2 linked regions of the Drosophila melanogaster genome follow. The protein of the gene in region 1 interacts with the protein of each later gene in a biochemical or structural test. Each region holds a gene or a part of one and is shown in the gene's direction. Other genes may lie near its edges.

What was found. Proteins that work in one complex are often made in the same cells at the same time.
Region 2: of the proteins of toy (region 1) and Hipk, one has a biochemical effect on the other in vitro, tested with the Drosophila melanogaster proteins (one study listed by BioGRID).

What each region holds. Positions count from the first base shown.
Region 1 is NC_004353.4:987,866-992,747, forward strand, and holds the start of toy (twin of eyeless), read left to right. Parts: upstream 1-1,859; 5' UTR 1,860-2,386; coding exon 2,387-2,637; intron 2,638-4,200; coding exon 4,201-4,381; intron 4,382-4,882.
Region 2 is NT_037436.4:544,127-549,101, forward strand, and holds the start of Hipk (homeodomain interacting protein kinase), read left to right. Parts: upstream 1-1,932; 5' UTR 1,933-2,072; intron 2,073-3,355; 5' UTR 3,356-3,652; coding exon 3,653-3,941; intron 3,942-4,975.

The sequences.
Region 1 (4,882 bases):
TTATATTTATACATTTATTTTAGCGTTTATTTTATCGAAATATTTTTCGGAAGTCTGGGCCTGTCAGCTCTGGGCGGTTTTTGGGCAAATCGATAAAAATGTACAAAACTAATACAAATATGATATAATTTCAAAACATTTTTCAAAAGTGTGGGCGTGGCGGTTTTGGGCGATTTGTGGGAGTTGACGATATGGGTCAACAAACTTGAGCCGCGTCTATGTCTCTAATCTATATGCCTAATCTCAACCTGTTAGCTTATATATTTCCTGAGATTTCGACGTTAATACGGACGGATAGGGCTAGATCGACTCGGCTAGTGGCCCTGACCAAGAATACAGATACTTTATGTAGGCGCTTCCTTCTGACATTCTATTTTACACATTGATAAAGATATTGAAATTAAAAAAACATCAAACAAAATGTAGGCTTTAGAGTAGACGTGGCTAAATTATTGTTTAGCATATCGATAGAGACTCTACTAGTAAGTAGGTACGCAAGAAAAATCAAATATCATGAGTGCAAAATTTAATGGTTATATGCATTTGTTGCAGCCCAGACACTACGCTAAATAATATAAATTAAGGTATTTTCACACATTCCAGGAAAATCAGATTCGTCACCTTTACAATGCGCCATGAAATTTTTGGCACACGCAATAGGAATGACAAAAAGGCGATTCAAGAATATGCCCCTTTGAAGAAGCCCAGCACACTGGATGCCGGCACTACAATAATGGAAATTGTGGTGGAAGGGGAAATAGATTCGTTGATGCGTGTGACTTCAAAAATCCAAAAAACGTGTCGGACAGGATGTTGAGAGCAAGTAAGCTCAGTGGTGGCTTTTTGGGGTGGTTTAGGTTTTGAATGCTGTTACTTGGGGGTTTAATTTCTGTAAATAATAGATATCGAAAATGTAAATACAAGCAGAAGTAGCAGAACAGACAATTTATGTATTTACATATTTAATATTTTGTATAGATATACAACAAAAAATTTACAAATACTAAATACTCTTTAAAGTTAACAATACAAACTTCATCTCAAGCCCAAGTCACGCAGATCACGCTACAGGTAAGGCAAGGCATTTTGAACTCCTGATACTGTTTGACCTTCCTGAATACGTTTTTATTGCTGTTCAATTTTAAATTTAAATTAAAACTAATAAAATGCACTCATAGTTTTTATATGTGAATGTATTTTTGTATATTAACACAACCGACATCAGAAATATAATAATACTTAACGTAAAGATGGGGAATTGATACAGGGCAATAAATAACTAGTCGTTCTATACTTTTTTAAAACAAAGGTATGGCAAACGATTAGATTGTATGTTATTCAGAATGATCAGATTCTTAAACTTTTGGATACATGGTTATATAATCAAATATTTTAGGGATTAAGTGCATTAAACATGATAAAATATCATCACAACCAAACATATGCATACAATGATGAATAAGACTTACACATATACACAACCATCTATGTTTATATAAATTCAGTTTTATTTTCCAGCGTTATTATCGCTGAATCCATAATGTTAAAGTTGCCCACGATATATTTAACAACCAACCAAAACTTCAAAAAGATTTTCAAGCGGATAGGGTACACTTTTCTTTCTTCCATAGCCGTCTCTTTCCTACGCAACTCCTATTTGCCAGATGTGCGCACGATGGATTTTGTTGTAATGCCTCTCTTCCTCATGTCTCTATAGCTATCTCTTTTCACGGCACGGAAAACAGCAACGTTGTTAGCTATCGCTGACTGCAAATGAAAAGAGACAACTAGAGCAACGCCGCCAAAATGGCTGGCCGATGTGTTAGCCGTTGCTCTTGCCAGTGTTTTTTCGCATGAGAGCTCATTAACGTTTCGCTTGGCTAAGTGCGCACCTCGTCACTGAAACCAGTTAGCAAAAGAAATTTTTGTTCAAGCTTAAACCGATACCTACGTCACTATTCGATCATTTTGAATGCAAATTATTCCCAGATTAATAAACTAGGTCGCCATCCGTGGCGCTGCCGCCGGGCTGCGGACCCGTACTTTCGACGGAAAATATCGGGACCATTTTCATAAACGATCTATGATACAGTTTTAAAACACTTTAACGCTTTCCATCGTGCACACTTAAAACAAAACTCATAAAGTGAAAGTTCATATCCTGGCAAGTAAAAAGTGATAAATGTTAAAACGTCTGAAGTGATAGTCTGGAGTTTGATTACCAGGTGAAGAAGATAATATATATGGGATGTACAAAGTTGGCAACGAAGCCCCCCTTCTAACAACAATGAAAAAGGGAGTAATCCTACTTTCTCACTTTCAATAATAAACATACGCACGTCAGCCACCGTCGAAGTCTCCAACGCCGCATTAAAAATAATTAATTATGATGCTAACAACTGAACACATAATGCATGGGCATCCCCACTCGTCAGTCGGGCAGAGTACTCTATTTGGGTGCTCCACGGCGGGCCATAGCGGAATAAATCAGCTGGGCGGCGTATATGTTAATGGCCGGCCACTGCCCGATTCAACGCGTCAAAAAATTGTCGAATTGGCTCATTCCGGCGCACGTCCTTGTGATATTTCAAGAATACTACAAGTGTCCAACGGTTGCGTAAGCAAAATTTTGGGCAGGTGAGGCATTTCGAGTGCATAATGACATTTTCTTAACTAAACAGGAACTACGAAAGTAGCCTCCAACAAACAAACTGCTCAGCTAAAATTTCTGACTTCGGACTTTATTATATAAGCACTGCGTTTAAACCAGGGAGTGATATTAAATTTGGAAAATATGAAAGATTCGATTATTATACCCGTTACTCAAAGAGTCAAAAGGTATATTAGATTTGTTGAAAAGTATGCAACAGGAAGAAGGATGCGTTCCCGACCATATGAAGTATGTATATATTCCGTCTGTCCGTATGAATGTCTCGATCTCAGGAACTATAAAAGCTAGATGGTTGGAATTAGGCATACTGATTGTAGAGATATGGACGTAGCGCAAGTTTGTTGACCCATATTGCCAACACTTTTAAAAAAAGTGTTGATTTTTAATCGTTTTATTGTTTGTCTTCTATCGGTATACCAAAAACACTTTCGCCACACCCCTTCTTACACCAACAAAACGCAAAAAACGGATCCCAGAAAAATAACACAATTTTGCTTTCGTATTTAGTCGTATAGTCGGGGAATTCGACTATAGCATTCTCTCTGTTTTTGGTAAGTTAATGGCCTTACTAACGTTTCAGTAGTTTCTATATGCATAAGATCCGAATGCCTCCTAGTCTATTTCGTATCAACTAACCAATGATCGTAAGACTGCGTATGATTAAAGAGAACTTGCTTAGCATCTGTTTTGCGAGTAGCCAAATTTGTTTGTTGGAAGAACCTCTTTACGGCGTTATTGGTGTCCGTATTGCAAGTGCTGTCCATTGTACAACACTAACAAATACATTTCTCCCCTGGCTTCTAATTAATACTTATGTTATTTTGTTTAGCATATATTCTATATTCAATCCTATATGCCATTCGCAAAATATTTATATACCGGCTGCATTTAACTAATTTAATGTCTACAACTGAAAGTGTTGACTGTTGACGCTGAGGTTTGCTTATAGTTTTTATTATCTCGACGCTAAACATTTCGACGGCGTTTAGCATTGTCACCACTAATGAATCGCTGCGCTTTTCTTTTTACAAGTTGCAGCTCGCATTTACAAGCACTGCACTCCGAATTGTTTTTTTGTGCTCATCTAACATTTTGGAAAGAGGATTTTTCAATCAATACTAGAGGAATGTCCTTTTTTACTTTACTATAAGCACTGCTCTTCCCGAGAATATTTACGGCTTTCGACTACTAAGTTACATAATTGGAACTAATCAGATATTAGCAGTTCTATTATAAATACTTTAGAGTAAGAAAATCAATGATTTTCGTAATATGAAAATTTGAAATCAGGCCCCCATCCCAATCTCTCATTGTGTGACTCTGATTATTGAAACACATTCACCATTTATGATCATAATACATAAAAATCAAAATCATATCTTAAGAAGAACGTATTTTTAAATTCTCTGTTCTTTGCAAAATAAGAAAATATACAGCCAAATCTAAATTGATTGTATATTCATTGTTTATTCTATTATCTACTTTTAATGACTACTCAGATAAAATGTAAATAAGTTTATTTTTTTTAGATATTATGAAACTGGATCGATAAAACCTCGAGCTATAGGTGGTTCAAAGCCACGAGTAGCTACAACCCCGGTTGTGCAAAAAATTGCAGATTACAAACGGGAATGTCCCAGCATATTTGCGTGGGAAATACGAGATCGACTGCTATCGGAACAAGTTTGCAATAGTGATAACATTCCAAGTGTAAGTTATATTTTGCGCACATAATAATATTTCTGCACGTGCTAATAAAAGTTCTAACATACCATTTTAAGCGTTTTCGATCCTTAAAAATATATATGTATATTCATGATCAGGATCTAGGACCAGTCCGTACCTCTCTTTCTGTCTTACGTTAAAAATTTTAGAAGTTTAAAGCTGAAAGATTGTTTCAAACTAACTTTCTAATAGAGCCTTATAGCTTTAAGCTATTTATAGTTGTTTTCCTGTTCTCTTAAAAACTCTGATCTGACTAATAAAAGTTCTAACATACCATTTTAAGCGTTTTCGATCCTTAAAAATATATATGTATATTCATGATCAGGATGGATCTAGGACCAGTCTGTACCTCTCTTTCTGTCTTAAGTTAAAAATTTTAGAAGTTTAAAGCTGGAAGATTGTTTCAAACGAATTTTCTAATAGAGCCTTATAGCTTTAAGCTATTTATAGTTGTTTTCCTGTTCTCTTAAAAACTCTGATTAATGA
Region 2 (4,975 bases), on another chromosome or scaffold:
TTTTGGCATTTATCAAAACAAAAGAGGAACAATAGCTGGCAGGCGGAAATGGAAATAACTGCCTTATCCCTTCTCTCCTAATCTTTCTCTTCTCTCCTCTCTCTCTCTCTCTCTCTTCTGTCACTCGTTTATCCTCCTGTGACGCTGCGTCATCATAATCAGCGTTTGTCGATTCATCAAAGAAACCGCCGCCGGTTGCTCTCTCCACTCTCTCTCTCTCTTTTCCTCCATTCAAGGATACCGAAAGAGAGAGATCGAGAGAGTGCCCCCTCTCCTTCACACTTCCCTCATGGGTTTCCTATGTAAATCATTTAAAGGGAAATTGTTGCACAACTTTAACGAGTTGATTGGAGGGGGAGGGGTGAGGCTTACTGCTTGTGGGTTTTCCCGGCGCAACCCTCATTCCCCCAACCCACTCGCCCACTTTGGCAGCTGTCAATTAGAGCTTACAGGGAGAAAAAATGAAAACCCGAAGCTTCCATATGTTAGCTGTCCCTCCCACAGGTCTCCGCCCCCAACAGCTGTTGGAAAATGAGATTAGGAGGTGGGGGGTAAGTGGGGACCCAGCTTTATTGGCCTGTAATTGATGCCCAGGCTGCCAACCATATTGCTGATTGAATTGTGGCGTTGTCGCTGCAGAAAAGAAGAAGGGTGTGGATGCACAGTCCAGAGGACTGACTGCTGACGTCGCCACCGAAAGCAGAACCCGTTCAAGCTGCAGTTAAGCAAGTCTTCTGCGGGGAACCCCCGGGGACACAGACTTGTCGAACTCGCATCCTGCTGCGCTACATAAACCCCGAAAGTCCATGCCAGATTTAATGACAAAGGCCACCGCCCATTACAATGTTGCTTAACTACCATAATTATAAACAAAAATATAATATTATGTTTAAGGCTTACCTTCTCTTTACTTTTGTGCTTGGGGGAAATTGCAATTCTTTGAAGCGCTGGCTTATTTACATAAGAGTAATAGGGAATTCACCAGTTTAGTTACCTTTTGTTTGGTTGCGCTTTTCAAGTCTAGGTTTTCCTAAGAATTGTTCTCCATTCCTTATTTTCAGCATGCTGGAAACCATATGCTCTCTTTTGATCCTTTGGTGGAAAAGTACCCCCCGTACCTTTTCTTTGGCTCGGCTAAAAATGTGTTCAATCCACGCAGCCATTTCCATCTCGTTCTATATGTGTGTAATTAAGTCTGTCCACGACGCAAGTTTTCCTCAGCGCCTCTTTTTACCCGGCGGCTGCCCAACTAAACCACTTTGGCCCATTCGCACATCGCAACCCCCTCTCCTCGACCCACCTCAACAAAAAACAAAAAAAAAAAAAAACTATTTCACAAGGTGCCCCTTTGCCGGTTCTTGGCCTCCCTTTTGGCTTTCTCCGCCCCTTCCTTCTGCTTTCTGCTGCCGACGCAAATCCTTACGTGTCAAATGGAGCCCCTCACACTTTTGGATGGCGCCCGAACAGGGACATCCACGTAAGCAATCAAGCACTTAATCGGCTATCCGACGAAGGATTACCCCTTACTGGAATTATTCATACCGGATCATAAATTTGTACAGATAAGACCAGTTTAGAGACAGTACTATATAGTATAGTATAGTAAGTGAAAATCCCTAAACATTTACGTTAAGGTCGAAGCAGAGGATACCCAGGATATTATAGGGTAGCAAGGGAAGGAAAAACCAAAACAACAACCACAGAGAAAGTAAGCAAAAATAATTTCGCGATTCGTCCCCCGGGCAGAGCCCTAAAAGTCGCAATTTGAGGGGTGGAGCCCTTCTCTGGAGCGGCAGGAAGTGGGTAGTGGAAGAGCGGAGACCGGGCTTGCGCAGGCGCCTGGAAGAATCCGAAGCCGAGAAGAGCGGCGAGTGTCCGCTCTCTTTTTTCGGCTCTGTGGCAACAAAGTTTCGGTGCCTCAATTCTTCGATTCAGAGTCTCCACAAACGGCTTCGCGAGCGGACGTTGCAGCCACAGAAGATACAGCCACGGCCGTCGAGGAAGTGGCAGCTACAGAAAGCCAAGATATATATCTGCATATACATATGACTGGCGAAGCTGCTGCGAAAAAGGTGCAAAACAAATTAAGATGCATAAATAAACACCGGACTCGCTGGCAGGTGTTTGTGAACTCTGCTTGTGTGTGTGTGAGTGTGTGTGCGAGTGCGGTGCTGTGCGGTGAAATATTACGAAAGAAAACCTTTTATGTTTTGCAATTTTCCCGCAAACAAATCAACGAGCATAAATATTAATTTTGGCTACACCCAAAATGAGATGATGGACAATAACAGCGGCAAGAAGAAGCGCTTTCAGAAACTTGTTTTAGCCCGGTTTCGGATTTCTCCGTCTTCCTCTTCTCTTCTCGGCGACGTAGTTAACTAAGAGCCGTCGTATTAGACGTTAGTTAGAGAGTGCGTGTAAATTGTCGAAGGGATATTGTGTTTCCCAAAGCCCCATCTGAAATATGTATTCTCACTGTTCATCTCTGTAATGAAAGCTGTGAATTTATCAAGTTACTAATCGGTATTGTGCGGATAATGGCCATCAAAACCTTTTGAGCTACGTTTTTCGATTTTACATTAGGCAAGGGTATCCGTAGGATCCATTTACTCGCCAGCTGCAGAACGAAAATCCATTCAGCAAAACTGTCTCTCCCTTTTCCACTCGCTGAGCAATCCATTTAATAACTTTGGAACCGGCTTGTGTTTGCTTTAATTTGTTGTTGTTTTTTGTGGATTTGTTTTTTGGGTTTGGCAACGAAAGTTGCCAATTAGGTTTAATTTTAGGGGGCTTCGTAGAATTTTCAGCAAAGTGCGTAGAAAAGGGTTTCGTGGTGTGTATCCGTGTGGGCCAAAAGTGCGCTAGTGTGCGTGTTGTTTGTGTGCGGGGCCAAGTGCGTATCTCCCAAATGTTTTTATTGTTGTTTGCTTTTTTCGTTCTTTTGTGGTTTTCATTTTTCGACACCCGAAATGTGTTTGTCTTGTTTTTATAGTTTGCTCTCTTTCACGCCGCTTTTTGCGTAGTTTAAAAGTGGAATCAAGTAAAAAACAAAACAATTACAGTAGAGCCTAGATGAGGAAGTTCTGCGTGCAAGAAACATAAAGTTACCAAGTTGCTGTACAAGCCTTTCCAAGGCATTACAAAATTACTTAAAGCAAAATAAAGTTATTTAGTTCACTAGTTAGTCTCCACTGTCAATATTTGGACAACACATTTGAATGGAAAGTTTCAAAAGCGAATTAAAATATAAACGTATGAATGCCGGGCAGGTGTGCGAGTGTGGTGATATGATATTTTTGGTACGTGATTTTATTCGACCATGCTAATGGCTATTGTGTTCTCCCTCTACTTGCAGATTCTCTTTTAATTTGGCATAAATTGTATTTGTCTTGAAAAAAGCATATTCTTGTAAATATATCCTCTTCGTAAAATATTTTACTTAAAAGCCTTAAAATATTGAATTCACGTGAAATTTCAAACGGTGTCACTCGAAATTCGCCAGTGACTCGCCGCCACGTTTTGTACAAACATAGTTTGTAAACATAAGTTTGTAAGCGGCCGGAAAAAGGCGAACGGAACCCAAAAACCCCAATGCAAGCCAACTGAGTGCAAGGGAGACAGCCGACCACGTCGAGCGGGATAGCATGCGCCAATGAAAACGTCCTACCCCCCAAAAGCGTCCGATTTCGTTGACTACGCCGTTGCCGGGGGCGGGGGATCCGGATTCTGTTCGGGATTAGGAGCGGGACTTTCAGTCAGGGCGACGTCCTTCTACGGCGATCAAACGGTAACGGCAACTACGGACGGGACGCGTCACCAGGAACAACAACAACAACAACTGCAGCAGCAGCAACAGCAGCATATCCTAAGGCAACCTGCAACATCCGCATCGACTTCATCGGTAGCTGCAGCAGCAACCAGCAAGCGAAAACGTCAAACAGGTGAGTTTTTTATTAGCCATCCAAATAGTTACTACAGACGTGCACTAGCTTTATTTGTGACTAGGCTTTCGAAATCCCCACCTATAGGTGTCAAAAGGTTTGAATTCGATGTCGATAACATGTGAATTCGATATATTATGTTATGCAGGCAGTTTTCAGTGTAAATCGGATTCGGATAAATATAAGTTATCGGATAAGTTTTTGCTTAGCTAAGCACCTTCAGCAACCACACGAATGAATCATGGGTAATATGTCCGGTTGATTGCCCCTTCCCGTGGTGATAGCACTCATCGATTATTGTGACAATCGCTTAATTTGCTTGAGTTATCGTTATCACACACGCGCCGTGGGCAAATGCGCCCTGTTGTTTAGTAATACTAGGCGCAATATTTATTATTATTGGTTGCCGTGCCATATTTCTGCCTCTTCTGGGCACTCTTATCGCCCGATTTCCCCCAGCGCCTCCCCTTTTTATTGTTGATTATCACAATAGACGCCATGGCAACTTTTTTCTTCTTTATTTTTGGTTTGGTTGGTGAGAGTGCAAGGAAGCGATAATTCGCATGGTGGTTTGTCGCCGTTTTGTATTTTTTGGGTTTGTGGACATTCTTAGACTTTGTTTTGTACTTCGGTTGGTATCTTTGGATTTTCCACGCTATCCGCGATTACGCTTGCATGCTCGAGCATGTCTGTCTTGGCGCTTGAAGAAGATTCCCTTCCATAATCCCTTTAAAATTTGCGATGATGTTTTCGCTGCTCGACTTGCCTGGCTTCATTCACATTATCTGCTCTGTGAATAGTATGAGTTATTGTTTGATATCTCACAAGGTCCCCCGCACCCCTGTTCCCCGAGCTCATTGAAAATTCCAGCGGACGCAATTACCACCCCAATTGTCTCCCAATCTAAGTTTTCGCTTTTGAGCGGCTCCGCCTCTTTGCTCGACTGTATTTTCAGTGTTTCCTTCGCTTTATTTATTTTTCGCTTATTGCGACTTATAAAAATATTTCAGTTGTTGTTTGCGCTCCCCATTCGC